3 linked regions of the Stegostoma tigrinum genome follow. The protein of the gene in region 2 purifies or fractionates together with the protein of the main gene of each other region. This does not show direct contact. Links are inferred from orthologs where the notes say so. Each region holds a gene or a part of one and is shown on either strand. Other genes may lie near its edges. The genes, in order: OTU domain-containing protein 1, aifm1 and ndufs5.

What was found.
Region 1: the proteins of aifm1 (region 2) and OTU domain-containing protein 1 purify together in Homo sapiens (affinity purification with mass spectrometry; 3 studies listed by BioGRID, with this or other methods). This does not show direct contact. The link is inferred for Stegostoma tigrinum from reciprocal best matches to the Homo sapiens genes AIFM1 and OTUD1.
Region 3: the proteins of aifm1 (region 2) and ndufs5 purify together in Homo sapiens (affinity purification with mass spectrometry; 3 studies listed by BioGRID and IntAct, with this or other methods). This does not show direct contact. The link is inferred for Stegostoma tigrinum from reciprocal best matches to the Homo sapiens genes AIFM1 and NDUFS5.

Annotation. Positions count from the first base shown.
Region 1 is NC_081355.1:119,875,339-119,886,614, forward strand, and holds OTU domain-containing protein 1, read left to right. Parts: upstream 1-5,912; 5' UTR 5,913-6,308; coding exon 6,309-7,538; 3' UTR 7,539-8,343; downstream 8,344-11,276. UniProt on the Homo sapiens protein: Deubiquitinating enzyme that specifically hydrolyzes 'Lys-63'-linked polyubiquitin to monoubiquitin.
Region 2 is NC_081368.1:61,397,927-61,408,538, reverse strand, and holds the start of aifm1 (apoptosis-inducing factor 1, mitochondrial), read left to right. Parts: upstream 1-6,223; 5' UTR 6,224-6,371; coding exon 6,372-6,459; intron 6,460-9,906; exon of another isoform or gene 9,907-9,921; coding exon of another isoform or gene 9,922-9,931; intron 9,932-10,612. UniProt on the Homo sapiens protein: Functions both as NADH oxidoreductase and as regulator of apoptosis.
Region 3 is NC_081377.1:19,978,865-19,989,408, forward strand, and holds the start of ndufs5 (NADH dehydrogenase [ubiquinone] iron-sulfur protein 5), read left to right. Parts: upstream 1-5,428; 5' UTR 5,429-5,538; intron 5,539-5,561; exon of another isoform or gene 5,562-5,693; intron 5,694-10,544. UniProt on the Homo sapiens protein: Accessory subunit of the mitochondrial membrane respiratory chain NADH dehydrogenase (Complex I), that is believed not to be involved in catalysis. Complex I functions in the transfer of electrons from NADH to the respiratory chain.

The sequences.
Region 1 (11,276 bases), on a different chromosome or scaffold from region 2:
GGCTCTCTGGTAGAAAACAATCTTCTATCCATACTAGCACCTGGCCTCTAAAACCGTGGGCCCTTATCTTACTCAGCAGTCTCCTGTGCGGCACCTTGTCAAAGGCCTTCTGGAAGCCCAGGTAGTTAACATCCCTTGGCTCTCGTTGGTCCAACCTGCTCATTACTTCCTCAAAGAATTCGAACAAATTTATCAGGCATGACCTCCCCTTGATGATGCCGTGCACATCCAAGTATTCAGAAATCTCATCCTTCATAGTTGTGGCACTGCAGGAGGTCCAGGATGGACATGTCGTCTGAGGAATGCGAGGGGGAGTTGAAATGGTTCGTGACTGGGAGGTGTACTTGTTTGGTGCGAACCGAGCATAGGTGTTCTGCAAAGTGGTCCCCAAGTCTCCGCTTGGTTTCCCCAATGTAGAGGTAGCCACAACAGGTACAGGGATGCAGTATACCACATTGGCAGATGTGCAGATGAACATCTGCTTGATGTGGAAAGTCATCTGGGGGCTTGGGATGTGGGTGAGGGATGAGATGTGGGTGCAAGTGTAACACTTCCTGCAGCTGCATTGGAAAGTGCCGGGTGTTTTGGGGTTGCAGGAGAGTGTGGAGCGGACAAGGGAGACCAGGAGAGAGTGGTCACTATGGAAAGTAGACGAGGGTGGGGATGGAAATATGTCTTTGGTGGTGGGGTCGGATTGTAGATGATGGAAGTGTCAGACGATGATTGTGCCACAATGATGCTACCCGAATGTTGCAGGAACAGCAACTCATATTCCGCTTGGGAACCCTGCAGGCTAATGGTATCAGGGTGGATTTCACAAGCTTCAAAATCTCCCCGCCTCCCCACTGCATCCCAAAACCAGCTCAGCTTGTCCCCGTCTCCCTAACCTGTTCTTCCTCTCATTTATCCCCTCCTCCCACCTCAAGCTGCACATCCATTTCCTACCTATTAACCTCATCCTGCCCCCTTGACCTGCCCGTCCTCTCCAGACTGACCTCCCTCCCTACCTCCCCACCCATACTCTCCTGTTCATCTATCTTCTCCTCTTTCCATTTGCAATCTGTCTCTCCCTCTCTCCCTATTTATTTCAGAACCCTCTCCCCATCCCCCTTTTCTGATGAAGGGTCTAGGCCCGAAACATCAGCTTTTGTGCTCCTAAGATGCTGCTTGGCCTGCTGTGTTCATCCAGCTCCACACTTTGTTATCTCGGATTCTCCAGCATCTGTAGTTCCCATTATCTCCTATCTGACTAGAGTTTTTTTGAGAACATTTCAATCAGGGTAGATTGAGGCAAACACTTTTCAGGTTTAAACCCCATCTGCCACTTCTCAGCCCAACTCTGCATCCTATCAGTGTCCTTTTGTAACCTAGAGCAGCCCTCCGCATTATCCACAATTCGACTCACCTTCATATCATCTGCAAGCTTACTAGTCCACCCTTCCACTCCTACATCCAAATCATTTACAAAAATCACAAATAGAAGGAGGACCCAGAACAGATCCTATAACAGTCCTATATCACCCAGGCCTGTCAACTATACTTCAACACAGGTCACATGACCCCTTCATGTTTACCCATACTTAAACATAACGCCCCAAAACATTGTGATCTTGTAAATGTCCTAATTGATTTGCTTTAACTCCTGAGCATCTTTCTTTAACCTATTTGAAGTTATGAACAATTCTTTTAATGAAAACCAGAAGAACTGCAAATGCTGTAAATCAGGAGCAAAAACAGTTATGAAGGGTCTAGGCCTGAAACGTCAGCTTTTGTGCTCCTGAGATGCTGCTTGGCCTGCTGTGTTCATCCAGCTTCACACTTTATTATCTTGCTGGAAAAGCTCAGCAGGTCTGGCAACATCTGTGAAGGAGAAAACAGAGTTAACGTTTCAGGTCCGGTGGCCCTTCCTCAGAACTCCCTCAGTTCCGAGGGAGGGTCAGCAGACCGAAAAGGTTAACTGTTTTCTCCTTCACAGATGCTGCCAGACCTGCTGAGCTTTTCCAGCAACTTTGTTTTTGTTCTTGAATTATTTGAATGACTTTGTACCAAAGAATCAAGTGCTATATACCATTGATGTTTTTTAGGTAACAATTCTAAAATATTTAGAAGTGATCGAGTTCCAAGGAAGAGTCATATCAAACTTAAAATGTTGACTCTGTTTCTCTCTCCACAGATGCTATCAGGCCTGCTGAATTTATCTAGAGCTTTCGTTTTGATTTTAGATCTTCAGCATCTGTAGTAGTTTGTTTGAATTTTACAGAAGCAGCTAATACCTAAAGGCAGAAATCAGCCCATCCTCTTGTAGCTCTGTTTCTGTTACAGATTTGTTTTAACCACTGATGGGATTCACTTACTTGAGACAAGTTTGTAAGTGCCGCTCCAGCAAAAGTGAACTTAATAATTCTCCAACAATGAAACAACAATGCTGTAAAATATCACTTTCAAAACCAGACTCTCAATATGTTTTCATCAGACCTTTTCATTCTTCTGTAATTTCATAATAACCCCTTGAAAAATGGCTTAATGGCTAGTTTTAACCATTTGTGCTTTCGCCCCAGATGTCCTGTGCAAGGATACCATTTAAAATGGAGTACTCCATTTTAAGTTTTCAGAACTTTTTTGAGTTCAATAATTTTAGGGCCTAAACTCTCCCGTGTCCCAGCCCCTATGCCAACACACCAAGCCTTGTTACCACACAGCCGTCCATTACATACTACCTGTTATTGGTCACTAATAGTCCCCATTAACAACTATTCACCCTCCCAGACTGATCATTTTCACCTTTGTCTGTCCAACTGGTCTTTTCTCTCTTCCTATTGTTCACTCTCTACCCCATCCCTCTCCCCTTTATTCTGCATATAAACTGACATTTTCCCAGCCACCGTCAGTTCTGAGGAAGGGTCACCGGATCCGAAACATTAACTCTAATTTTCCTTCACAGATGCTGCCAGACCTGCTGAACTTTACTAGCAACTTTGTTTTTGTCCTGTGTTTTACACCATTTTAATACATTACTGAACTGAGTTATGACAAATTTATATAATGCATACCAATGAGCAAATGGCCCCGCAACCTGTGCTGATAGATAATCCTTGAACTGTGAATCACCTAAAATTGCTTAGTGAAAGCAATGCCTCCCACTTACAAGGAATTTCATAACATCACTGGATTTGCACATTAAAGTCAGGACAGTTTAGCCGAACTCGTCCTCACCCTCAACAACTTCTCTTTCAATTCCTCCCACTTTCTATAGACAAAGGGGGTGGCCAAGGGTGCCCACATGAGACCAAGCTATGCCTGCCTCTTTGCAGGATACATGGAACAATCTCTCTTCCGTACCTACACTGGCCCTAATCCCTCTCTCTTCCTCTGTTACATTTATGACAATTGGCGGCACGTCGTGCTCCCGTGAGTTCATCCACTTCACCAACACCTTCCACCCCAACCTTAAGATCACTTGGACCATCTCTAATACCTCTCTCTCCCCATCTCCAGCAACCACCTAGAAACCGATATCCATTTCAAGCCTACCGACTCCCACAGATATCTAGAATACACCTCCTCCAACCCACCTTTCTGCAAAAAATGCCATCCTCTATTCCCAATTCCTTCGCCTCCGCTGCATCTGCTCCCAGGATGAGGCATTCCACTCCCATACATCTCAAATGACCTCGTTTTTCAAGGACTGCAGCTTCCCCCCTGTCAGTGGTCGAGAACGCCCTTGACCGTGTCTCCCGCATTTCCCACAACTCATCCGTCACACCCCTCCTCACAATAAAAAACAAAACAGAATCCCCCTCGTCCTTACATACCACTACACCAACCACCGGATCCAACGCATCATCCTCCGACACTTCTGCCATCTGCAATCCAACCCAGACATTTTTCCCTCCCAGCCCTTATCTGCCTTCTGGAAGGACCACTCTCTCTGTGAATCCCTTGTCTGCTCCACATTCCCCTCCAGCTCCACCACACCCGACACATTTCCCTGCAACCGCTAGAATTGCTACACCTGCCGCCACACCTCACCCCCATCCCAGGCCCCAAGATGACTTTCCACCTGAAGCAGATGTTCATCTGCACATCTGCCAATGTGGTATACTGCATTCGCTGTTCCAGTTGTGGCCTCCTCTACATTGGGGAAACCAAGTGGAGACTTGGGGACTGCTTTGCAGAACACCTATGCTTGGTTTGCACTAAACAACTGCACCTCCCAGTTGTGAACCATTTCAACTTCCCATCCCATTCCGCAGACGACATGTCCATCCTGGGCCTCCTGCAGTGCCACGACGATGCCACCCAAAGGTTGCAGGAACAGCAACTCATATTCTGCTTGGGAACCCTGCAGCCCAGTGGTATCAATGTGGACTTCACAAGCTTCAAGATCTTTCCTCCCCCTACCGCATCCCAAAACCAGCCCAGTTCTACCAGCCTTCTTAACTTGTCCTTCCTCCCACCTATCCCCCCGCCCACCTCCATCCCCATCCCCATCCCCATCTCCTACTTACTCACCTCATCCCACCCCCTTGACCTGTCCGTCCTCCCTGGACTGACCTGTTTCGTCCCTCCCTCCCCACCTACATTCACCCTGACTGGTCTATCCCCACCTCTTTGACCAGTCTGTCTCCTCTCCACCTATCTTCCCCTCTATCCATTTTCTGTCCGCCTCCCCCTCGCTCCTTATTTATTTCAGAACCCCCTTCCCCATTTCTGAAGAAGGGTCTAGGCCTGGAAGGTCAGCTTTCCTGCTCCTGTGAGGCTGCTTGGCCAGATGTGTTCATCCAGCTCTATACCTTGTTCTCATAGAAAGACAAATGTACCATTTTAGTGATTGCCAATCAACCTCTACGACTTGGAAATTAACAATAAAATATTTTGATCCTCATTACTCAGGAATTTTTCCAATTGCTGTTGTTTTTAAAATAGTCTAAAATATCTTATATTTCCCATCTGCCTGTCATTTCTGTCTGTCCATCCAGTTTTCCTTTCTTCTGGATTTCTCTTTTCCAGGGACACAACATTTTTTCCTCAGTGCGGCCAATTGAATATTTACAAGCAAAGCCTGTTAAGGGCAATGCTAACATCAAAAAGTGAGGGGGTGAGTGTTTTGGGATGGGGAAAGAGGACTAAATCAAAATCGAATTGGAGGGGGAAATAATGTACTATATTTCCTGTGGTGCATGGATTCCTCTTTCTGTACCTGATTTGACATTGAATTCAGCTGGTTCAGACTTCCTGTTTATTCCTCAATCCTTTAATCCTATTTATTATAGTGATACATTATTGGCCCCTCAGTCATCAAGTTCCCAGATTACCTGTCGCCACAACTTTGGACCTAACACCTTAGGGCAGAAATGAAGCAGTTGTGTTGAAGAGGGATAGTGTGAGGCAAAATGGTGGATAGATCTTTAAGAGGAGTGGGGGTTGGGTATTTGTGGAGAGATTAGTGCTCGGTTGGGGTGCGACCAGGAGAGGATGCAAAAGATGGTGGGATGCATGAGGAGATTACTAGGTTAGGAAACTGGATAAGAGGTGAATGGCATAAAGAAACTGGAGGAGAATGGGAAGGTGGGGGAGCAGGAGACAGCAAAATGGATGGCTGTTGGTTGGTGTAGACCGGAAGGGAGAGACACGGGCGGGCGTGGGGCGGGTGGGTTTTAGAGACCGAAAAAAGGTGGGAATGGAGGGTCTGAAAGTCTAGAAGAAGTAGTAGGAAGGGAGGAGTTGAGAGAACAGAAAAACGGATGGAAACAGGACAAGAAGCCTGGGGGAAGGGTTAAGAGAGAGGGAGTATTGAAGGGGAGAGGATTAGCACTGAAGATGGGGTGGCAGTGGCCTGAAGTGATTTGGAACTGGCGGTGATTGACCCGGGGTAGTCCGGCGGAGGGCGGTTATGCCACAACCCCCCCGCCCCCCCGTTTCTGGCGCTCACATTCCAGCATGCTGAGACAACGACTGGCAGTAAACGAGTGCAGGCCGCCCAAAAGGGGAGGGACCAGGGGAGGAAACGGGGAAAAAAAAGCCGAGTGCTTTCCAGAAAGGTCTCGGCCTGAACGATGCACCTTTTATGCGGAGAAATCTCCCGTCTTTAGTGGAGCGGCGCTGACGTAATGGGGATCAAGTTAGGCCTGAGTGTCGCAGTTGCAATTAGAGCGGCCGGCGGGAGGGTGTGAACGAGGTGTCGGAGCCTGTGTCCAATCTCCTCGTATCCGCGGCTTTAGGCTGTACCGGGAGCTGGTGATGACAGCCGCTATTTTTAACTACCATCATCAGCCCGAGGCCGCTATAAAAGGGGCCGCAGCTGCGACATGCACTATTACAGCAGCGTCTTAACGCACTATCCCGGCACCGCCTTCAAAGTCTCCATTCCAGCGGCGGAGAAAGCGCCTGTCGAGGGCCCGAGTTTCGGAGTGAAGACTGAGCCCACCGCCGCCTCTTCCTCTGCCGCCTCCTCCTCCTCCTCTACCACCACCGCCGCCATGCCCGCCTTCTCGTCATGCGAACTGCTGCCCCCGGGCCCGGCTCCGTCTCCGGCCTCGCTCCTCTATACTTCCACCGCCAGGATTCCCCTGCGGCCTCTCGAGAGGATGGTGCCGATCCAGATCTTGAGCGACAGAACGCAGGCCGAGCCCCCGGTGCCGGGCCATCAGGGACGGGGTGTCTGGACCGAGGACATCCTGACGGAAGGATCGCGGAAGGCTTCAGCCCGGATCCTGGGCGATGGCCAGCAAGAGCGGGCAGTGACGGACTTACAGCCCGCCTCGGAAGGGCCGGAGACCGCCTTCAACCCGCCGGATGGTGACAGCACCGAGCGGGAGTACCAGGACTGGGTCGGGCCGGGTCCCGAGTCCCGGGCTACGGAGGCGGCTGAACAGAGCAGCAGCAGTGCCTGGGAATTCGACGGTGGCTTCAGGACCGTGGACCTGGTGGTGGAGAACAAGGCGGACAGAAACGACAAAGTGGCTCGTTACCTGGCAGAAGTGGAGAAGCAAAATAGTTACCTGCGGGAGCGACAAAAATACCGGTTCCATATTATTCCAGACGGCAACTGTTTGTACAGGGCCGTCAGTAAAGCTGTATACGGTGACCAGAACATGCACAAGGAACTGAGAGAAGAAACTGTCCATCACATCGCAGATCACTTGGACGAGTTTAACCCCATCATCGAAGGGGACATTGGGGAGTTTTTAATCAACGCTGCCCAGGATGGAGCCTGGGCTGGTTACCCAGAGCTGCTTACTATGAGTCAAATGCTGAACATTAACATATACTTGACCACAGGGGGTAGCCTGGAAAGCCCAACAGTTTCCACTATGGTGCATTGTCTTGGCCCAGAAGATCAATCAAAATCCAGCATATGGCTGAGTTGGTTGAGCAATGGACACTACGACGCTGTGTTTGATCAGTCTCTACCTAATCCAGAGTATGAAACCTGGTGCACAAAAACACATGTTCAGAGGAAACGAGATGAAGAATTAGCAAAGTCCATGGCAGCTTCTCTTTCAAAAATGTACATTGAGCAAAATGGCTGTTTTTAAATGACTTTCCTCCCAAGCAGTACTATTCATAAACATTTCAGATCAGGACCTAAGATTCCCTGCATAAGCTGATGAAACTGATATGAGCAAGGCTAGTAAGAAGTACAAATGTAAAGATTGTTAATATGGTTTTTATTTATTTATATGCTTACACATTGATTGGGCTAACAGCACTTTAAAATGGATCATAAAATCAACTCTAAGTAATGCCTTAATTAAATGTGTGAATACCTAGATGTTTTACCAAATGTTTGAGCTCAAACTAATGAAGGTTGCGGGGCACCTGAATTTTTAAATCAGGCTTATTGCAGATAAGAGACCATAGGATTGAATGGGACTGCATTGTCTCATTAAGCATGTGTTTTTTTTAATTAAAATCTTAATCTTCTGATGTTTGGAAAGCAACTGATGTTTAATCTCTGCTTTGGAGAGTTTTTATTCTGAATGGGGTTTTTTTAAAGATGTTTTATTGCAATTTTTTGCAATTGCTGGTTTGTTATTGTCATATCTCCTTCATTACGTTCTTGTATTTGGTATTCTGGCAGGTAGCTAATTGCCACCTTGATTTTTCTAATTGGTTAGAATAGAGATTTTAGATCTTTTAAAGTTTAGCTACAATTACTAACGTTATTACTGTCTGTTTCTTGCCATTTCACTGACTTTTATACGCTGTCCAAGATGTATTGACATCCAAAAGTGGTTTGCAGGGTCAAACTTGTAACCAGTTTGCAATTACTGTATTTGTATTGATTGTGAAGTTATTAATCAACATGGAATGAATTAAAACTATATAACATTTCACAAACAGCTGTCAGAGACTAAATGTTTCATACTCCTGTTCTTAACAGAAGCAGAGGGCCTTGATTATGACACTCCAGTAAAATATCACTTTAATATTCTGCAAAGCTCAATCTATATGTGTGTACCGAGTTTAAACTCTCTCTAATTAAACCTCAAGTTTCAATGCCAATAAAAGTTGGTAATTAGATTATTCAAACCAGAAGACGTTTTTAAAAATTGGATGATATTTTTGAACAGGCTACACTAATTATTAATAAATCTAAAGAATGGAGGAGAAACCTTCAGCTTGGTTACTCTGAGCATCTCTACCACATGGACCAGCTACCGATTTTAAAAATTGGTGGGGTAATTTTTCTGCATATTGTGTAGTGCATGAAACTATTAAATCAACACTTCAACTACCAGCTGGTAACTACTGTACAAAACCCAGTACATAAAGTGCAACATTTATAAAGTATACTGTAGTCTGAATGCACTCAATGTCATGTACTTTGCCATTAACTTACAATAAGTAGCTTTTTAGGAAGTAAGTTATGATTTTATGCTTTCAGAGAGTATCTCTGAAAGCATATGGAAGGAGGTTCAGTTGTGTTTACCAATGGGAAATGGTGTATGCTTGCAAAGCAGTGTTACAGGTGAGGGGGAACGTGCAGGCAAGTGAAGTTCATTGGATAGCTTTTCAAGAGCTAGTTCAAGTCTTCTGTGCTGTATAATACTATGATTTTTTTTTTGTCCTGAAATGGATTAATGTAAATAGTTTATGCCAGTAGAATTTCCCAGTATCTGCAAGCTCTTTGTCTAGGCTGTTAAACCAAAACCTGATTACATATAATGCTTGCTCGTTGCTTGTCAGGTGGCTCCACAGTCTCTTCAACTATGTAAGTGCAGTTGAACCACCTTTGGAGATGACAAAACAATAACACTTCTATCTGGACAACATGTACTCCATTGAAATGTTGATCAATCTTGTAACAAATACTGGAGCCCTTTGTGGCCAAAGGGAAAACAACTGCCATGGGTAACTGAGTAGTGCCTCTGTTTTGCCTTGTGTATTGGCCATAAAACTAAAGCAGAGATAATAGAACTTTCTGAAGATTTAGGCCTGAAACGTCAGCTTTCCTGCACCTCTGATGCTGCTTGGCATGCTGTGTTATCTCAACTAAAGCAGAATAGCTTTAGCGCCTTATTTTGCTGCAAGGCACTGCAACTAAAGTTGTACAATTGAACCCATAGAGTAACCATGTTTGTTAAATGATAATTACAACCTAAAGTGAATTTCTATGGCCTGTTGACAATGGAAACCAGTGAATGTCACAGGATCTTTCTCAAAGGTCTGTAACTTGTACATTTTTAAGAACAAATTAAAATCGCAAAATGTCAAAGGCAATTTTTTAAAAGTATTCTGATTACCAGCCCCCTCAAGCTTCAGAAGATAGCACAGCTTCAGAATCTCAAGTTACTTATTCATTTCTGCAGCCATACAGAAAAGCCTATATGCCACTACTTCAAGATCCAAACTTAAGTTATATGAAAACCATAAATCTCATGGTCTGTTACCTTGCCAAAGGCAAAAGAATACCTGGCAAATTACTGAGAATGTGATATATACCTATGTATGAAACATATAAAAATGATTATGATTTACATTTCTCTCAGGAAATGATACAATCTTTATAAAATAAATAAGGCCTGATTTGAAGAATTTACCTTTTCTCCCCTCATGAGCTGTAGTAGTTTTTTTGTTTGGGGTGGGGTGGGGGTTGGTGATGTGGAGGATTCAGTTGCATGAAAAAGTTATGGAGAACATTAAACTAGGAAGGTTCAGCAGAAATTTTAATGAAGTTGCATCAACAATTAATAGAACACAGTGTGAAAACAGTCAGGAATCTAACTTCAGCTGCAAAAGATAAGGGGACAACTATGATGAGAGGACAGCCAGTGCAGGACTGCAGGTATTGTACTGAACATATTTAAGTATATGAAACAAGGTAATTGAGTTTGTAATGCAGATTGAAATTGGCAGGTACAATGTTGCTGCAAGAGGAACTGTAAAGGAACAATCATGGAAGTTGTATACAGACTTCTAGAGAATTTAGGATGAGAGGAAGAAAATAAATGAGATTTTAAAAAGGCATGTTAGAAACAAGTTGCAATAATCATGGGGGACTTGGTTATGCAGCTGGATCAGGAAAATCGGGTTGGTCGTGGAACTCAAGTAAAAGAATTTGTGGAATGTGTACAAGATGCTTTTTGGACCAGCTTGTGGTACAGCCCACTAGGGTACAGGCAGTTCTGGATCTAGTGTTGCACAAGGAGGTTGATTTGATTAGGGAACTCCAGCTGAAGGAACCCCTAGGGGACGGTGATAATAAGATAGGATTCACCCTGCAACTTGAGAAGGAGAAGCTGGAATCCAATACAACAGTATTACAGTTGAGCAAAGACAAGTACAAAGACACGAGGGAGGAGCTGGCCTGGGTTGTTTTGGAAGGGGATCCTAACAAGAAAGATAGTGAAGCGGCAATGGCAGGAGTTTCTGAGAGCTATTTGGGAAACAGCAGAAATTCATCTCAAGCAATAAGAATCATACGAAGTGGAGGATGAGGTAACCATTGGTAACGAGGGAAGTCAGAGCATAAAAGCAAAAGAGAAAGCTTACAATATGGTGAAGATTAATGGGAAGGCTTTAAAAACCAGCAGAAAAGTAATTAAAAAGTCATAAGGGTGGAGAAGATGAATTTTGAGAGCTGGCTAGTAACATAAAAGAAAATTGCAAGATGTCTTAGATTATGTAAAAGGTAAGAGAGAGGCAAGAGCGGACATTGGACTGCTGGAGAAGTGGTAATGGTGAACAAAGAAATGAAGGAGAAATTGAATAAGTACTTTGCATCAGTTTTCATAATGGAAGACAGCAGCATCACAGCAGAACATTTAAGA
Region 2 (10,612 bases):
TGCCCTCCAACCCCACCACACCCGGCACCTTCCCCTGCAACCGCAGGAAATGCTACACTTGCCCCCACACCTCCTCCCTCACCCCTATCCCAGGCCCCAAGATGACTTTCCACATTAAGCAGAGGTTCACCTGCACATCTACCAATGTGGTATACTGCATCCATTGTACCCGGTGCGGCTTCCTCTACATTGGGGAAACCAAGCGGAGGCTTGGAGACTGCTTTGCAGAACACCTCCGCTCAGTTCGCAACAAACAACTGCACCTCCCAGTCGCAAACCATTTCCATTCCCCCTCCCATTCTCTAGATGACATGTCTATCATGGGCCTCCTGCACTGCCACAACGATGCCACTCGAAGGTTGCAGGAACAGGAACTCATATTCCGCCTGGGAACCCTGCAGCCTAATGGTATCAATGTGGACTTCACCAGTTTCAAAATCTCCCCTTCCCCTACTGCATCCCTAAACCAGCCCAGTTTGTCCCCTCCCCCCACTGCACCACACAACCAGCCCATCTCTTCCCCCCCACCCACTGCATCCCAAAACCAGTCCAACCTGTCTCTGCCTCCCTAACCGGTTCTTCCTCTCACCCATCCCTTCCTCCCAGCCCAAGCCGCACCCCCATCTACCTACTAACCTCATCCCACCTCCTTGACCTGTCCGTCTTCCCTGGACTGACCTATCCCCTCCCTACCTCCCCACCTATACTCTCTCCACCTATCTTCTTTACTCTCCATCTTCGGTCCACCTCCCCCTCTCTCCCCATCCCCCTCTCTGATGAAGGGTCTTGGCCCGAAACGTCAGCTTTTGTGCTCCTGAGATGCTGCTTGGCCTGCTGTGTTCATCCAGCCTCACATTTTATTATCAGTTAATCTGCACGACTGTTTTAGTCATTTGTTAACTTTACCACTGTATTACCATATCTCCATGTTATGGCCATACCAAGAGCAATACCAGGGTACGATCGAGGGAGAGACAGAGAGAGCAATGATGAGATCAGTTTGTGTGACAAAAAATACTGGATGGATGCATAGAAAAGATTTACAAGGATCGTGCCAGAGCTGGAGGGTTTGAGGAGAGGTTGAACCGGCTGCGGTTATTTTTCCCGGGGCGTCGGAGGCTCGAGGGATGACCTTATAGATGTTTCTAAAATCGCGAGGGGCATCGATAGAGTAAACAGACAAAGTCTTATTCCCAGGGCGGTGGAGTCACAAAACTCGAGGGCGAAGATTTGACGTGAGGAGGAGGATTTCAAAAGGACCTTAGTGGCAACTTTTTCAACAAAGGCTGATGAGTGTGTGCAGAACCAGCTTGCCGAGGAAGTAGTGGAGGCTGGTACAATTACAGCATTTAAAAGGTATCTGGATAGGTCAATGAATATGAGATAACAAGGTGTAGAGCTGGATGAACACAGCAGGCCAAGCAGCATCTGAGGAGCAGGAAGGCTGACATTTCGGGCCTAGACCTGTGATCTCAGATTCTCCAGCACTTGCAGTTCCTACTAACTCAGGTCAATGAATATGAAGGGTTTAGGGATATGGGCCAAATGCTGGCAAATGGGACTAGATTTGTTCAGGATATCTGGTCAGCAACGGATAACTTGTACCCCAAAGGGTCTGTTTCTGTGCTGTACAATTCTGACCTTATAAATGATTTCAAGGCAATAATCACATTTCAAAGTCATTTAAACAATTTTTTACTTAAATGACAGCAAAAGTAATAGATTCAGGCCTTGAACCTTCATGGTGTGCTTTGGCCAATCTGAGTCAACTTTTTCAGTCTCAATTGATCTGGTCATTGAAATTTGGTGTACTGATTTGTCCTGATAAATGTAACATTAAACTTTCGGCATCATCTTTTGCTGGGTCAAAATCCTGGAATTCCCTAAGGGCATTTTGGGTCTATGGACAGTACATGAATTGAAGAAAACAGCTCACAATCACCCTGTCAAGGGTAACCAGGAAGGCAATAAAAGTCAAACAGCCAACAATGGGCATGTCCAACAACTGAATTTTAAAAATGGTGTTTGTGGGCATAAACTAACATAAAGTACTTTCTGTGAAAAATTGTCATTCAGAATGAGTCCATTTTTACTCATGCTTTTCAACTTATTTTTAGAATATACAGAAACAGAAGAACATCAACATTTTTTTCTTTATTCATTCATAGGATGAGGGCATTGCTGGTGAGGCAGTATTTATTGCTCATCCTGAATTGCCTAGAAGGCAGTTTAGAGGCAACCACATTGCTGTGGGTCTAGAGTCACATGTAGGTCAGGTAAGGATGGCAGTTTCCCTCCCTAAAAAACATTAGTGAAAAAAATGAATTTTTTTCCTGCAACAGTCAACATTGGATTCACACTCTTTATTAGATTCTTAATTCCAGACGTTTATTAAATTCAAATTGCACCATCTGCTATGACAGGATTCAAACCTGGGTCCCCAGAACATTATCTGGGTCTCTAGATTAACACTCCAGTGATAATACCTCTAAGCCATCGCCGCCCTTTAGGAGCTGATGTAAGGTTTTCAGCCCTTCAAGCCTGCTCCAGCATTCAATATGATCACATCTGATATCCAACTCAATACCCTGTTTCTGATTTCTCCCCATACCTTTTGATTCCTTTAGCCCCAATAACAATATCTAAATCCTCCTGTAAATATTTCAATGTTTTGGCCTCAGATGTTTCCTGTGGCAAAGAATTTCATAAGCTCACCACTCTCTGGATGAAGAAACCTCTCCTCACTTCAGACCAAAATGGCCTTAAACTGTGACTCCTGGTGCTAGACTTGACAGTCATTGGTAACATAATTTTTGCATTTGTGCTAAATCCTGTTAGAATTGTGTTGGTTCCGATAAGATTCCCCTCATTCTTCCAAACTCCAGTGAATATCGTCATAATCCATCCAGCATGAAATCAGTCCTCCCATCCATGGAATTATATTGGTAAACCTTCAAAGAACTACCTTTATAGTCAGAACATCCTTCTTCAGAAGAGGAGACCAAAACTACATGCAATACTGCCGATACGGTTTTACCAAGGCCCTGTACTGCAGCAAGACATCACTCCTCCTGTGAAATATGACATCGTGCATGAGTCAGAGCTGTGGCAAAGGGTGCTGTGTCCTGAAAGGCAACAAAATAGTTGTGTAATAAAGTCATTAAGAAACCATACAAGAAGTGGAGGAAGTCTTGGAAACAAAGCTATTCATAGAATCATAGAATCCCTACATTGTGGAAACAGGACATTTGGCCCATCAAAACAACAGTGACCCTCCAAAGAGCTATCCAACCACACACACACCCTTATCCTATCTCTGTAAATATGCATTTCCCATGGCTAATCCACTTAGCACGTATTTTCCTGGACACTAGGGGCAATTTAGCATGGCCAATCCACCTAACCAACACATCGTTGGACTGTAGAAGGAAACCACAGTATCCAGAGGAAACCCACACAGGCACAGGGAGAATGTGCAGACTCCACACAGATAGTCGCCTGAGGCTGGAATTGAACGCAGATCCCTAGTTTTTGTGAGGTCACAGTGCTAACCACTGAGCACCAAGCAGCCCTTTCCCAACTTACATGTACTAGAAGAGATCTGGGCCGACTTTCAATCAGAATTTCATCTAAAACCATGAAAGTCAAGAACTCCCGTGTTGTCCAAATGATTGAGTGTGTCTCCTCAGAGGTTTTGCACGTGATTCAGTATAACAAGCACCAGCTCATCTCAGTCAAGGAGATCTAGAGGATTGTCCACCTTATGCTGCCAGGGAAATGGCCAAAGATGCTGTCTCGTTAGGCATAAAAGCAGACATCAAATGCACCAGCTTCTCTTAGGTCAACAATGTTAAAGAAAAATGATCTCTGCCCCTGTACTCCAATCTTCTCTCCATGAAGGCCAACAGACCACTTGCTTTCTTCACTTCCTACTCATGCCTGCATGCTTACTTTCAGTGACTGGCATCTGGTTGCTCCTCACACTTTCCCAATCTTCCATTCAGATGAAAATCTGTTTTTGCCACCAACGTTGATAACCTCACATTGTCCCACGTTGTACGTGAGCTGCTGTGCATTTGTCCACTCAGTTCACCTTGTCCAAATCACCCTTCAGCATCTCTGTATCCGCCTCACAGTTCCCCCTCCCACCCAGCCTTCGTGTTGTCTGCAAACCTGGACATTTAGTTTCCTCATCTAAATCATGAACGTTTATTATGAATAGGTGGGGGGAGGTGGTTGTCCAAGCACTCATCCCTGCAGTACCCCTGATTGCAGTCAGTTCCCGGCACTGGGGAAAATACTCGTTCTGAGGAAAGGGACACCAGACCCCGAAACAACAAAGTGAGGAGCTGGATGAACTGTGCAGGCCAAGCAGCATCTTGGGAGCACAAAAGCTGACATTTCGGGCCGAGACACTTCATCAGAAAAGGGGGATGGGGAGAGGATTCTGAAATAATTAGGGAGAGAGGGGGAGGTGGACCGAAGATGGATAGAGGAGAAGGCAAGTGGAGAGGAGAGTATGGGGAGGGGATAGGTCAGTCAGGGAGGATGGACAGGTCAAGGGGGCGGGATTGGGTTAGTAGGTAGGAAATGGACGTGCAGCTTGAGGTGGGAGAAAGGGATGGGTGAGAGGAAGAACAGGTTAGGCAGGCAGGGACGAGCTTGGCTGGTTTTGGGATGCAGTGGGGGGAGGGGAGATTTTGAAGCTGGTGAAATCCACATCGATACCATTGGGCTGCAGGGTTCCCAAGAGTAATATGAGATGCTGTTCCTGCAACCTTCGGGTGGCATCCTTGTGGCACTGCAGGAGGCTCAGGATGGACATGTCATCTAAGGAATGGGAGGGGGAGTTGAAATGGTTTGCGACTGGGAGATGTAGTTGTCTATTGCGAACCAAGTGGAGGTTTTCTGCAAAGCGGTCCCCAAGCCTCCGCGGGGTAGCCACACCGGGTACAGCAGATGCAGTATACCACACTGGCGGATGTGCAGGTCAACATCTGCTTGATGTGGAAAGTCATCTTGGGGCCTGGGATGGGGGTGAGAAAGGAGATCCGCATTTCCCACACTTCATGCCTCACACCCCGCCCCGGTAATAAGTGCCAAAAGAGAATCTCCCTCATCCTCACATACCACCCCACCAACCTCCGGATACAACGCATCATTCGCCGACACTTCCGCCATCTACAATCCAACTCCACCACTAAAGACATTTTTCCAACCCCACCCTTGTCTGCCTTCCGGAGAGACCACTCTCTCCGCGACTCCCTTGTCCGCTCCACACTCCCCTCCAGCCCCACCACACCCAGCACTTTCCCCTGCACCTCCTCTCTCACCCCTATCCCAGGCCCCAAGATGACTTTCCACATCAAGCAGATGTTCACCTGCACATCCACCAATGTGGTATATTGTATCCATTGTACCCGGTGTGGCTTCCTCTACATTGGGGAAACCAAGCAGAGGCTTGGGGACCGCTTTGCATAACACCTACGCTCGGTTCGTAATAAACAACTGCACGTCCCAGTCCCAAACCATTTCAACTGCCCCTCCCATTCCTTAGATGACATCCTGCAGTGCCATAACGTTGCAGGAACAGCACCTCATATTCCGCTTGGGAACCTTGCAGCCGAATGGTATCAATGTGGATTTCACAAGCTTCAAAATGTCCCATCCCCCCCAATCCATCCCAAAACCAGCCCAACTGGTCCGAGCCTGCCGAACGTGTTCTTCCTCTCACCGATCCCCTCCTCCCACTTCAAGCCACACCTCCATTTCCAACCTACAAACCTCATCCCGCCCCCTTGACCTGTCCGTACTGACCCAGCGATCCGCCTCCCCCCTTTCTCCCTATTTATTTCAGAACCCTCTCCCCATCCCTCTCTCTGATGAAGGGTCTAAGCCTGAAATATCAGCTTTTGTGCTCCTGAGATGCTGCTTGGTCTGCTGTGTTCATCCAGCTCTACGCTTTTGTTATCTCGGATTCTCCAGCATCTGCAGTTCCTATTATCCCGGACCCCGAAACGTTCACTCCGATTTTTCTTCTGCACAGACGCTGCCAGGATCTGTTAAACTTTTCCAGCAACGTCTCTAATCGACAGTATCTCAATTCTTTTGGGGAAGGGGGGGAGCGGAAGCTCTTCTCTTCTCCCGCTGCCTCTCGACGACTGTTGACATCTTCCCTCTGCCGGCCGCTAGGGGGTGAGAGCGCGGGCGGGTGCTGCCGCCGACGTGTCTGATCGGCGCCTGCGCGGAGACGGAGGGCCGGCTGAAGTTTGTGAGGGGGTGCGAGACGGCATTTTCTTTGTAGCGGTTGGGGGCGTGTGTTGTGGATGATGGCGGGGTAACGAGATTGACTGACCGATCGAGCCGGAACCATGCTGCGGACCAGGGCGACATGGCAGACGCTACTGCCGCTGAGCAGAGCGGCGTCGGTGCTAGTGAGGGGTAGCGCCAGGAAACGAGGTGAGGTGGGACGAGGGGACGGTTTGGCGGACAGCTGGCTGTAGGCCGCGGGTTTAGCTCTCGTCGCCGGGGCCAAGGTCGTGGGAAACCCCGCAGGCTATAAACTTTCTGCTTTTGGGGGCCCTTTCCCTCCCTTCCCCACTACTTGTCCCGTTCGTCCAAGTATGTGCCCTGAGCACCCTGCTGTTCACCTTGGCTTTCACTGGTAGGTCACAAACCAGAAGTTGCAGGCTGTGCCTTGAACTGCTTCTTCTCGCAATTGTTCACAAAGCATTAACTGGCCGAGCGGATCTGCCCGAGAAAATACTATTCTTTGGTATGTGTCCGTGTTTTTTGACCCCCCCCCTCTCCAAATCAGGTACAGCCGTTAGTTTTACGAAAGCTGTATAGGTCTCGCCTTGGCAGTTGGCACTTTCTTTACTGGTCCAAGGTCAGTGTCACCAAGAGCAACTCTATAAACCGGGAAGTCGCATTCCGTGCAAAAATCTTCCTGAACGTGGTGCAAAAGCAGATCGCTGCCGAGACCGGAGAGCTAAATCAAAAGCAAGATGCTCAACAGGTCACAGAAACAGAATTAACGTTTAAGTCCGAGATACCAAGGTGGAGAGCTGGATGAACACGGCGGGCCAAGCAGCATCAGAGGAACAGGAAGGCCGAGACCCTTTATTTAGAATATTTAGGTCCATAACTTGTCGACAAAGCCGGCGAGAAATACAACCGTAAAGTACGTGAAGATGCTAGAAAGTGAGGAAGGTAGGGACAAAAATCAATTTCTGTGAAGGTGTCGATGAGAGCAGTGTTTTCGATGCAGTATGTTTGGACGCCAGCTAGACTTTTGATCAGGTCCTGCATGGAATATTGGTAGCAAAGCTTAGAACCCATGGCACCTGAGGAAATTTGGCAAATTGGATGCTCGGCTGAATGGCAGGAAGTAGAAAGTTGTGTTGTTTTTCTGACTGGAAATCTGTCAAGTGGGGCTGAACAAGGTTTGGTTTTGGGACTCTTGCTGTTTGTACGTTATATAAATGATTTAGAGTTGAATGTAGGAGGGTTGGTCATTAAGATTATGTAATATAAAAATTGGGGTGATAAATGGTGAGGAGGATAGCCTTACATGTAAAGAAACTGGTCAAATGGGTTAAACAGGGGCAAATGGAATTCAGTCTGGGTAACTGTGCGGTGTATAAACAAGGCAAGGGAACACATGAATGAGGATACTGGCAAGTGCCAAGGATCAGAGGGATTGAGATGTGTATGTACACCAATCCCCAGAAAGTGGGAGCAAATTACTGCAGATGCTGGAACCTGTACTGAAAACAAAAAAACACTCTAGAAGTTACAGTGGACCAGGTAGCATCCACAGAGAGAGAGCAAGCTAATGTTTCAAGTCCAGATGACTGTTTTTCAGCGCTATAAGATGGGATTAGAATGGTGAAGTGACTGACTGTTTGTTTGTTTGTTTGTTTGTTTGTTTGTTTTTGACTGGTTAAGTGGCAGATGCGATGGGATGAAGAACCTTTTTCTGTATTGTACATCTCTGTGGTGGGATGAAACGACAGAAGAGACAATGACCAAGGCAAAAGAGTGGTAGTGAAACCAACGATCACCAGCCCATGATATTTGGATTAATGATTATGGGCAGTGTTTATGGTGTGAAAGTGTTAAATTTAATGTTAAGCCCAACATGTTGAAGATGTCTAATCAAAAAATGAGATTGTCTTCATTGAGATGCCCTTTGAACTTCATGTGATCAATATAAGAGGCTCAGGGTGGAGAGGGAGAGAATTAAGAAGGCAGGCAAGCAGGCACTCAAGATTACACTGGCAGACTGAATAAAGATGTCCTGCAAAGCAGTTTAGTATGTTCCTCTCACTAGTGGATTGGTGTATACACTGGTTAGTGTGCCATGGAAACAGTTGATGGTGTCAAGAGTGCATCAAGCTGTTGCAGAAGGACTGATAACAAAGTGTGGAGCTGGATGAACACAGCAGGCCAAGCAGCATCTCAGGAGCACAAAAGCTGACGTTTCAGGCCTCGACCCTTCATCGGAGAAGGGGATGGGGAGAGGGTTCTGGAATAAATAGGGAGAGACGGGAAGGCGGACCAAAGATGGCGAGAAAAGAAGATAGGTAGGGAGGGGATAGGCCAGTCCAGGGAAGACGGACAGGTCAAGGAGGTGGGATGAGGTTAGGTAGGAAATGGAGGTGCGGCTTGAGATGGGAGGAAGGGATGGGTGAGAGGAAGAACAGGTTAGGGAGGCAGAGACAGGCTGGGCTGGTTTTGGAATGCAGTGGGGGGGAGGGGATGAGCTGGGCTGGTTGTGTGATGCAGTGGGGGGAGGGGACGAACTGGGCTGGTTGTGGGATGCGGTGGGGGAAGGGGAGATTTTGAAGCTTGTGAAGTCCACATTGATACCATTGGGCTGCAGGGTTCCCAAGCGGAATATGAGTTGCTGTTCCTGCAACCTTCGGGTGGCATCCTTGTGGCACTGCAGGCGGCCCATGATGGACATGTCATCTGAAGAATGGGAGGGAGTTAAAATGGCTTGCGACTGGGAGGTGCAGTTGTTTATTGCGAACCGAGCTGAGGTGTTCTGCAGAGCGGTCCCCAAGCCTCCGCTCGGTTTCCCCAATGTAGAGGAAACCATACCGGGTACAATGGATTCAGTAACAGCTTTGCAGAACACCTCCGCTCGGTTTGCAATAAACAACTGCACCTCCAAGTCGTGAACCATTTTAACTCCCCCTCCCATTCTTCAGATGACATGTCCATCATGGGCCTCCTGCAGTGCCACAAGGATGCCACCCGAAGGTTGCAGGAACAGCAACTCATATTCCACTTGGGAACCCTGCAGCCCAATGGTATCAATGTGGACTTCACCAGCTTCAAAATCTCCCCTTCCCCCACCGCATCCCACAACCTGCCCAGTTCATCCCCTCCCCCCACTGTATCACACAACCAGCCCAGCCTGTCTCTGCCTCCCTAACCTGTTCTTCCTCTCACCCATCCCTTCCTCCCATCTCAAGCCGCACCTCCATTTCCTACCTACTAACCTCATCCCACCTCCTTGACCTGTCCGGCTTCCCTGGTCTGACCTATCCCCTCCCTACCTCCCCACCTCCCCACCTATAGTCTCCTCTCCACCTATTTTGTTTTCCCTCCATCTTCATTCCGCCTACCCCTCTCTCTATTTATTCCAGAACCCTCCCCCCATCCCCCTGTCTGATGAAGGGTCGAGGCCTGAAACGTCAGCTTTTGTGCTCCTGAGATGCTGCTTGGCCTGCTGTGTTCATCCAGCTCCACACTTTTTGTTATCTTGGATTCTCCAGCATCTGCAGTTCCCATTATCTCTGTTGCAGAAGGACTACTCACTTTGCAATAATGATCAAGATGGTGGGCAGAGCAAAAGCGTGGTGGTGTGCTACAGGAATTGCATGAAATCTGGAGAATGACCTATTGAAAATGGTAGAAGGTAAGGACAAGAGAAACGTAGAGTCATGGAGGGATGGAAAAGGGTGAAGCAGAAATGTGGAAATGAGATGGATACAGTCAAGGGCCCTTTCAAAAACAGTGCTAAATGCTCATTAGTTTTATGTTAAGTGATCAATTCTAGACATTTTCTCACAATTACAAAAGAATGTGAGAAGTGGTGGACCCATATTCACCTTAAATTTGCTCCACTACTAAGTAATATCAATGATCATCTGATTTTTGTGTCAATTGCTGTTTCATCCTTTATTGTCTACGACCATTGGTTGTTAGTTGAAAAATCAGTGTTTCTCACGTAATCCTTCAGCTCTTTAAGTAAATATTTCCAAAAGAATCATGTTTCTTTGAGAAATGAAATTCCCCCTGATCTCCATCTTAAATCAACAACATATTATTTTGCAACTATGCCCCCTTTTATCAATTCCTCTATGGGGGCAGTTTTCTCAGTATCTACAATGCCCAGTGACCTTACAATCTTGTGATTCAATAGATCACTTCTCATTCTTCTAAACTCCACTGAGAATAGGCCTGACCTGCTTAATCTTGCCTCCCTCCTTTCACGAAGTGGCATTAAACTTACTGTTTCCCAACTTGCAGGAACTCTTCTTTTAGGATTACAGCCAGTGCATACACAATTTCTATAGCCATTTATGTTTAGGCCATC
Region 3 (10,544 bases), on a different chromosome or scaffold from region 2:
GGGGGCACCCTTCACTCTGTTGATGATCAAAAGTGGACTGATGGGGCAGCAAGTGGGCTGGTTGGACTTCTTCTGTTTTTTGCATACAAGATTTTTCTGGGAAATTTTCCACATTGTCGTTGTACTCGAACAACTTGGATAGGAGTTCACTATGTTCTGGAGCCCGCATCTTCAGTCCTATTTTTGAAAGTTGTCAGGGCCATAGCCTTTACTTCATCCAGTGTCTTCAGCCTGTTTGTGGATATTATATGGAGTGAATCAAATTTGCTAAAGACTGACATCTGTAAAGAATTACGGACGTTATGGTCCCAGTTTGTAAGGGAGTATTTTGCTGTTTAAACCCTTTCTACAGTTTGTTCTGCCACAGAATAGGTGACTGTCTTTAAGAGGGTAGCACTTTGGGAGGGCACTGGGGGACAAGAAAAGCCAAATGGCTGGATACTACATTCTGACACCTCCTTTTATTTGATTGCAGAGCAGAATTGGTGAACGCATTCTGTGGGATAAGATGTATGGCCCCTTGGAGGAGAGAAGTAGACAAACTGGGAGAAATAGAACACACTATGACAATCCATTAATTCACTCAATCTGAGACACAAGATAAGATTCCATCCTAATTTAGATTTATTATTTAAAACGGTAAAAGCAAGCAATTGTCAAATTCATATGAAAAGTTTTGTCACTTTGTGTAGTCATGAACGTGTTTGTCTGCTGCCCCATTGTGGTGGTTATAAGGAACTGTTATTGCTTTTCACTCATTGGATGACATTTGGTTTAAGAGGAATTGGGAGGAATTGTCCATGCATCCGGATAAGCTGAGACTGCATTAAAATGGAATTAATAAGATGTAAGTTTTAAAATGCTAACAACTGATGCTGTAGTGCAATGAAGAGAACCATCACTTTGAGAAAAGAATGATTTAAAAGTTGAACCAGAGAAAGACCTTACATTTACATAATGCTTTTCATACTCTCATAATATTTTGTAGCAATCGAGATTCATTTTTAAAGTTTATCAATATTGTTTTGTTTGGACATGTGACCCCAATTCACATAAAACCTAAAGTCTGCCTACAAGAGTCAATAAGAACATGCAGACCAGCTCCATGTTTCAAATGTTATCTTCATCTGTACAGAGTACAGTTTGGCAAACTCTTCAAAGCCTACTTATTCCACTTTACTTGATAAGTGTATTTGGATAGTCTTCCCACATTAAGTGCAGGAGGGAAATTGCAGTCAAAATATATTTGACATTACATTGGCTCAAGTTGCAGTTTAACTTTCTGTTAACATTAATTTGCATAATCACAAACAAAGATCTTCAATGAAGCCCCACAATTAGGCAGCATATAAGAAAGAAATCATACTTTTTCCATAAGATGTATTCCTTAGGTTACTTTAGAGTGATAACCAGGTGAAGTTTAATCATTTGACTGAAAACTGGTTTAACACCAAAGTGATTATTTTAGGGTGTTCATTCCACCAGCTGTAAGTCCCCAATTTAAAATGACTGAAAATTATTTTAAAAGTATACTGAACACTTTCATTATCTGATTAGAGCACACCATTCAGTCTCTTTGTAAATTACACATTTTGTGACGAGAAAAAATATCTAAAGTAGAACTACTCATGCCTGTACACTGAAGAAATTTGATCAGATTTCAAGAACTTTCCTGAATCATCCATATTTTGAAATTTTGATCTAGCCTTTGCAATAGAGGCCTAATCCAAGCTCCTTGAATCTTGAGGCGTGGGTTACAGAAAACATTAATGTAAGTGGTTTTAAATGTAACCAACATTGAAAATTCTCTGATCTTTTGCAACTGTTTGGCCAATTCTGCTTGGATTCAACTGATTTTGCAAGAGTCTTGAGTCAGATTATTCACAGAAGACAATAAAATCTCTCAAAGCTGGAACACGCTAAAATATTGAGGAGTCCACCATCATACTATGATAATTTCCAGTCAAATCTTTATCCCTGGGCAACAATCATTGACAAGAAATGTTGTCAGCTAATGTTTTCTGCCTCAAGAAATAGGTTTCTGTATTTAAAGCAATAGGTATGTATGAAATGCGACTACAGTTGCCTTGAAAGCTTTATCTGAAACGACATGTCATTGATTTATGTGAATAGTAGACTGATGAGTATACTGCCTATATTTAGAAAGGAAATAAATCAAACCCAGGTACTTCCAACCACATTAGCCTTACATCAACAGTAAGAACAATACTGGAACTATATTCAGAAACAGACTGGACAGACGCCTCGATATTAATAGCTTTATAAGTAACAGCTGGCACAGATTTAGAAAGTTTAATCCTGCTTGACCATTTTGAGAATGTTACAAATGACATCCTTTGCACCCTTGACAAAGTTTTACACAAAAGAAACTGGATCTTGTAACCCAAGGGAGGTCAGGGTCAGGGATAATGGGAACTGCAGATGCTGGAGAATCCGAGACAACAAAGTTTAGAGCTGGATGAAAACAGCAGGCCAAGCAGCATCAGAGGAGCACAAAAGCTGACGTTTCAGGCCTAGAGGTCAGTGTCACATTTTTAAACAAAATGCAGTTATTTGTCAAGTGCAGTCGGGTGCTTTGGGAAGCATCTTGGGGGTGGCACGGTGGCTCAGTGGTTAGCACTGCAGCCTCACAGCGCCAGGGACCTGGGTTCAATTCCAGCCTCAGGCAACTGTCTGTGTGGAGTTTGCACGTTCTCCCCGTGTCTGCGTGGGTTTCCTCCCACAGTCCAAAGATGTGCAGGTTAGGTGGATTGGCCATGCAAAATTGCCCATAGTGTACAGGGGTGTGTGTGTTATGGGGGATGGGTCTGGTTAGGACGCTCCAAAGGGCGGTGTGGACTTGTTGGGCCAAAGGGCCTGTTTCCACACTGTAGGAAACCTAATCTAATGTAATCTAATCTAATCTCCACTCTGTGGTAGGGATGGATAGATCAGTCAGAATCTCTCAGCCTGGTGCGGGAGTCTCCCAGCATGGCATGACAACTTTCCAGCCTCCTTCAGTAGCCTCCTGGCATGACATGTCACCGGCGCAGTGTGGAGCCAAGCCCAGTGTGGGCTGAAAGCTCAGTGCCAACATGGTCTGTTGTCCTGAACTCCTTTCTATAATGCTGGGACATTTTACTTCTGTATTGTCTAAAATCCTGTAACTAAAGGAGCTATGCCTAGGTACTTTTGTATCTAAGTTAGCGCTGTAATTGGTGCCTTATAAACTTTTCATGATACTTATTGAGTATACATGACACTTTGGAGCACACGGCCAGCCTTCATCAGAATACTACTGCCAGGAAACTGTATGCTTGACTAGGCACCTAGTTTGTGGATTGAACAAGGCTGGCTACTAACTCATACTCTGAGTTCATATATTGTGAGGTTACATGGATGCTGACAGCATCTCTGCTTTGCATTGCCTCACCTTTTTGCACTTTGCCGCTCAGTTAGCTCCAACAGGCTCACAGGCCTTCTGTCTTGCCTTGCCTTTTAACTCAGACACAAGGCCAGGCAGTCTGCCATGGTGGTCAGCAATGATCAGTAAAGGGAGTGGAAGTGTCGAGTAGTGTTTGCACCAAACATACTGCGCGTGCCTCAAACAAATGGACATATCTTGAAGTCTAAGAGGAGTAGTTCTCATTCAAATCAAGGGAGACAACCTTCAGTCAGGAATTTCCAACACATAAGTCAAAGGCAGTCTTCAATATCAATCGCAAGGCCTTGGGCAGCGTCGATTTGTCACTTGAGTGGACATGGTCATGATCCTCCGTATTGCAGGGATGAAGAACAGAATGTCACACACCACCCAGCTATTTTGCTTCTTTCTGCCTTACCATGGGCTGTTTTCTTCTGTAATGAGAGAAAGGGAGGGATTGAGTGAGATGCAAGCTGAATGCTCCAGCTGTTGGCTACAGGTGGTAGAAAGCAGTGAGGCGTGCTGACTGAGTGGGCAGTAAGCAGTGCAGAGGCCATGTGGAGTTACTGCTGTGGGGGTTGGGCTGGGTGAGAGCTAGCGAGGAAAAATGTTGGGTGTAATGGCGAAAGAGGTAGAGCACGAACCTTGGTGGGTACAGTAGAAGAGATACAATGAGGGGTGAGGTGGCAGAGAGAAGATGGTAGCACTCAGCCTGCATGAAGACAGAAATTTACCGCCCTTTTTCACACACTGCTGGACATTTCTGAAATGGCTGAGACTGCACTGACCCAGATGGTCACCTCAACCTCAGCTGGCAGCTGTTGGTGAACCCAAACCTGGAGTATTGTGTCCAATTTTGGTCTCCTTACTTCAGGAAGGATGTCATGACGGTTCTGACGATGCTCACCAGATTGATTCCAGGGATGAAAGGGCTATTGTAAGAGGAGCAGTTGAATAGCTAGGGCTTATCTTCACTGGACTTCAGAACAATGAGGTCGTGTCTGATTGGTGTATAAAACGCTAAAGGGGATTGATAAGGTAGATATTGATCAGAAGCTCCCCCGTGTAGGACAGTCTCAAGCAAGAGGCGATAGATGTAGAGTGAGAGAAGGTTGGTTCAAAACTAAGATGGGGAGAAACTACTTCCCTGAGAGGGTTGTGGATCTGTGGAATTCACGGTCTCTAGTGCAGTGGAGGCAATATCAATCAACAGATTAATGAAAGAAATAGATATGTTTCAGATGAAAAACAGTATAAAGGGCTATGGGGAGCAGGGAGGAGAGTGGAGTTGGGACAAGGATAAGATCAGCCATGATCATGTTTACTGGTGGAGTGGGCTCAAAAAGCTGAATTGTTTACTCCAGTTCCTAATTGCTCTATTAGGCTGGGGGTGGCAGAATTAAAACAGAGATGAGGAAGAATTTCTTCTCTCAGAGGGTCGTGCATTTATAGAATTTATTACTACAGAATGTGGTAGATGCCAAGATGCAGGATTAATTTAAGGAGGAGACACAGATTTTTAGTTGTTTTTGGGTTAATAGGCTTGAGGAGCAGGGAGGAAAATGGAGTTGGGGCCAAGGGGAGATTATACTGAAATGACAGACAAGCGTGACGGGCTCAGTGACTGACTCCTACCCCTGGTTCTTACTTATGCTTCAAAATTACACCAATGGTGATGGATGTGATTCATGTTCTGACTCAGCGAGACAATAACATCCTCACCCCAAGATTAGAAGGCAATGGCAAGCCACCACTGTCAAAAACTACAATACACATCTAGCTCAGAATGCAGCATCAGCAGACAATTCAAAAACCTTTCCTTCACAGTACACACGAATGAATGAATGAACATCAAAACCACAGCATGGCTGTAAATCTAACGTTATGATCATAAAGATAATAACGACTCCACGGGACCAATTGACACCTTCTCCTTGATCCACTGACTTGCGCACTTTGGGTTCAGAGCAGTTCGCAGTGTGCGACTGCGCTCCGGCTCCAGGGGGCAGCAGAGCTCCATGCGGTGAAGGGTGAAAATGGTAAATCGCGCTCCTGTTTTACGGCAGGCCGACAAGTGGAGCTGCGTGCGCGGAAGAGCAGAGGACGTTTGGGAGGTGAGAGAGAGGCCTGGGCGGTCAGGATCGAAGGAACAGAGGGCAGGAAGGGGTGTGGGCGGTGGGGAAGGGGTAACGCAAGCAGGGTGAGGGTGGCAGGATCTGGGGGAGCCAAGGAGGTGGTGGCGGCAGTTGGAGGAGAGTTCTTGCTGAAGGTGAGAAATGTGGCAGAAAACCGCAAGAACGGCGGATGCTGGAAATCGGGAATAAAAACAGAAATTTCTGGAAAAGCCCTGCGGGTCTGGCAGTATCTGTGGAGAGAAACCAGAGTCACCTTCAGATAACAAACTGTGGAGCTGGATGAACACAGCAGGCCCAGCAGCATCTCAGGAGCACAAAAGCTGACGTTTCGGGCCTAGACCCTTCATCAGAGAGGGGGATGGGGGGAGGGAACTGGAATAAATAGGGAGAGAGGGGGAGGCAGACCGAAGATGGAGAGTAAAGAAGATAGGTGGAGAGAGTATAGGTGGGGAGGTAGGGAGGGGATAGGTCAGTCCAGGGAAGACGGACAGGTCAAGGAGGTGGGATGAGGTTAGTAGGAGATGGAGGTGCGGTTTGGGGTGGGAGGAAGGGATGGGTGAGAGGAAGAACCGGTTAGGGAGGCAGAGACAGGTTGGACTGGTTTTGGGATGCAGTGGGTGGAGGGGAAGAGCTGGGTTGGTTGTGTGGTGCAGTGGGGGGAGGGGACGAACTGGGCTGGTTTTGGGATGCGGTGGGGGAAGGGGAGATTTTGAAGCTGAAGTCCACATTGATACCATATGGCTGCAGGGTTCCCAAGCGGAATATGAGTTGCTATTCCTGCAACCTTCGGGTGGCATCATTGTGGCACTGCAGGAGGCCCATGCTGGACATGTCATCTAAAGAATGGGAGGGGGAGTTAAAATGGTTCGCGACTGGGAGGTGCAGTTGTTTGTTGCGAACTGAGCGGAGGTGTTCTGCAAAGCGGTCCCCAAGCCTCCACTTGGTTTCCCCAATGTAGAGAAAGCCACACCAGGTGCAATGGATACAATATGCCACATTGGCAGATGTACAGGTGAACCTCTGCTTAATATGGAAAGTCATCTTGGGGCCTGGGATAGGGGTGAGGGAGGAGGTGTGGGGGCAAGTGTAGCACTTCGTGCGGTTGCAGGGGAAGGTGTCGGGTGCGGTGGGGTTGGAGGGCAGTGTGGAGCGAACAAGGGAGTCACTGAGAGAGTGGTCTCTCCGGAAAGCAGACAAGGGTGGGGATGGAAAAATGTCTTGGGTAATGGGGTCGGATTGTAGACGGTGGAAGTGTCGGAGGATGAGGCGTTGTATCCAGAGGTTGGTGGGGTGGTGTGTGAGAACGAGGCGGATCCTCTTTGGGCAGTTGTGGCGGGGACAGGGTGTGAGGGATGTGTAGCGGGAAATGCGGGCGACGCGGTCAAGGGCGTCCTTGATCACTGTGGGGGGGATGTTGCGGTCCTTGAAGAACTTGGACATCTGGGATGTGCGGGAGTGGAATGTCTTATCGTGGGAGCAGATGCAGCGGAGGCGGAGGAATTGGGAATAGGGGATGGAATTTTTGCAGGAGGGTGGGTGGGAGGAGGTGTAATCTAGGTAGCTGTGGGAGTCGGTGGGCTTGAAATGGACATCAGTTACAAGCTGGTTGCCTGAGATGGAGACTGAGAGGCCCAGGAAGGTGAGGGATGTGCTGGAGATGGCCCAGGTGAACTGAAGGTTGGGGTGGAAGGTGTTGGTGAAGTAGATGAACTGTTCGAGCTCCCCTGGGGAGCAAGAGGTGGCACCGATACAGTCATCAATGTAACGGAGGAAGAGGTGGGGTTTGGGAATATCTTTCGATTCCTCCCACTTCCTACAGCTAAAGGGGGTGGCCATGGGCACCCACATGGGCCCCAGCTATGCCTGCCTCTTTATAGGATACATGGGACAGTCCCACTTCTTCTCTCTGTGACTCCCTTGTTCGCTCCACACTGCCCTCCAACCCCACTACACCCGGCACCTTCCCCTGCAACCGCACGAAGTGCTACACTTGCCCCCACACGTCCTCCCTCACCCCTATCCCAGGCCCCAAGATGACTTTCCATATTAAGCAGAGGTTCACCTGCACATCTGCCAATGTGGTATACTGTATCCACTGTACCCGGTGTGGCTTCCTCTACATTGGGGAAACCAAGCGGAGACTTGGGGACCGCTTTGCAGAACACTTCCGCTCAGTTTGCAATAAACAACTGCACCGCCCAGTCAAGAACCATTTTAACTCCCCCTCCCATTCTTGAGATAACATGTCCATCATGGGCCTCCTGCAGTGCCACAATGATGCCACCCAAAGGTTGCAGGAATAGCAACTCGTATTCCGCTTGGGAACCCTGCAGCCCAATGGTATCAATGTGGACTTCACCAGCTTCAAAATCTCCCCTTCCCCCACCGCATCCCAAAACCAGCCCAGTTCGTCCCCTCCCCCCACTGCACCACACAACCAGCCCAGCTCTTCCCTTCCCCCCCACTACATTCCAAAACCAGCCCAGCCTGTCTCTGCCTCCCTAACCTATTCTTCCTCTCACCCATCCCTTCCTCCCACTCCAAGCCGCACCTCCATTTCCTGCCTACTAACCTCATCCCACCTCCTTGACCTGTCCGTCTTCCCTGGACTGACCTATCCCCTCCCTACTTACCCACCTATACTCTCCTCTCCACCTATCTTCTTTTCTCTCCATCTTCGGTCCGCCTCCCCCTCTCTCCCTATTTATTCCAGAACCCTCACCCCCATCCCCCTCTCTCTGATGAAGGGTCCAGACCGGAAACATCAGCTTTTGTGCTCCTAAGATGCTGTTTGGCCTGCTGTGTTCATCCAGCTCCACACTGTTATCTTGGATTCTCCAGCATCTGCAGTTCCCATTATCACCTGCGGACAACTTGTCTGAGGAAGGGTCACTGGGCCCAAAACTTTAACTCTGATCTCTCTCTCCAGCAGATGTTGCCAGACCTGCTGAGTTTCTCCAGGAATTTCTGCTCTTGTGTGTTGGAATATGGCAGTTTTAAAGAGAGACAGAGTGAGAGCGCCCAGAATGTTGATTGCTGAGAGTTGGAAAGGTGAAGAGGCTGTAAGTGTAGGAGGTGGTTTAGTTAATTTTTTTTTTAAAAAATCAATTAACTGAAAGACAGTGCTGGATGGTTTCATTAAGGTAAACTTGGAAAGATAGTGGGGCCCAGTGAGCTCTGGAAACCGTAGGCCACTTTATAGATGTTGTTATAGAATCCCTACAATGTGGAAACAGACCATTCGGCCCAACAAGTCCACACTGACCCTCAGAGCATCCACCCGGACCCATCCCCCTTTCAATCTACACATCCCTGAACACAGGGCAACTTAGCATGGCTAATCCACCTCGCATGTACATTGTTAGACTGTGGGAGGAAACCCATGCAGACATGGGGAGAATGTGCAAGCTCCACACAGACAGTCACCTGAGACTGGAATCGAACCCAGGTCCCTGGAAATGTGAGGCAGCAGTGCTAACCACTTGATATCTTTAAAACTAAGAGTAACAGTAATAAGAGTAGTTCAATAATGCAGTGGATGCCACACACTTGGATTGCTAAGGTACAATGTGGTAGATGTTTGTCTGCAGTGTAAGTATATGAAGTTGGTAAGCTAATGAGAAAACAGTATGAAGGTTAAAGATATTTCTTCAGACTGGCAGAAGCTAGGCGTGATTTGGGTCTGAACTAGCCATTTCCTGTTTAAGCATGTGGACAATGGATTCTGAAATCCAATTTCAAAACTTGTAGAGGATGCCAAATTGTAGCAGTGGTTAATACAAAGAAAGAATGTGACCAAATGCAACAAGATTGTAATACCTTTACAGAATAGATGTGTAAATGACAAACAAATTACAATATGGTTACAAAGAGTTGAAGAACAACAGTATCCCTGTTGTTAAAAGGAGCCCTGGAAATTAACACGCCCAGTGATTAGGTGATACATTTTCCCAATAACACATCACATAGATATACCGCCCTTAGATGTACTGCTCAGTGACAGCAGGGAGTGCCAACTACAAGATGCACTGCAGAGTCACACTAAGGATCTTCAATGACCTAAAAAAAACCTTTACAGACCCGGAAACTAGGAATCCTGCACATTCTTGCCTGACTTGATGTTGTGTTACTCTTACGCCAGTATATCTGGTCAAAGTCCCGGAATTCATTTCCCAACAGCAGTGCAGATGCCTCCACCCCGAGGTCTGTAGTTGCTCAAGAGCGTGGCTCTAAGCCAATTAGGGATCAGCTGTATTTGTGATATGCTGCACCTTGTTCTGTAAGTTAGTCACTGTGAAAACAATTATTTACTAAAATTTAACCTATTGCTTCCTTCTGCTTGTGCGTGTATTTATTTATTCTGGTCTCCTTAATCTATGTAGATTGTTCCACATGTCCACCTAAGCCAATTCTAATCCTTTCATTATTTTAAAAATTTTAATCTATCCAGGTGTTTGTTTTTAAAAACAGTTTTTAGGCCTAGTCATAACTGAAGACCTTTGAACAAAGTATTGTTCCAGTGGCCCTCCACTGAACCTTGGCCAGGGCCTTTGTCATCATCAGCAGCTGAAGGATCTTTGTCTGGGAGCAGTAACTATAAACAGCCCTGTTTTTAGATTTAAGTCAGAAAGTGAAAGAAATTCCAGAAGAGAAACCTGCCAGGCATTAACATGAGGGGGCCCACCAGGTCTTCTGGCAGATGTGCAGCTAGTTGGCTGCCAATGGACTTGCTGCTCCAGGGTCCTAATGTCAGCAGGAAGCTGTGCCCATCTTGAGCAGGCAGCCACTCAGAGGTTGGCAACTTCAGAATCTGGCATCGTCATAGCAGGAGTCCACCTGCTCGCGGGATATCAGTCCCTGAAGGCCCAGGTAAGATGCTGCTTGGCCTGCTGTGTTCATCCAGCCGCACACTTAGTTACCATGAAAGATGTGTTGTTTCAGTGCAATTTCTGGAGTTAGCTGCGGCAGGGAGAGGCAGAGAAAGA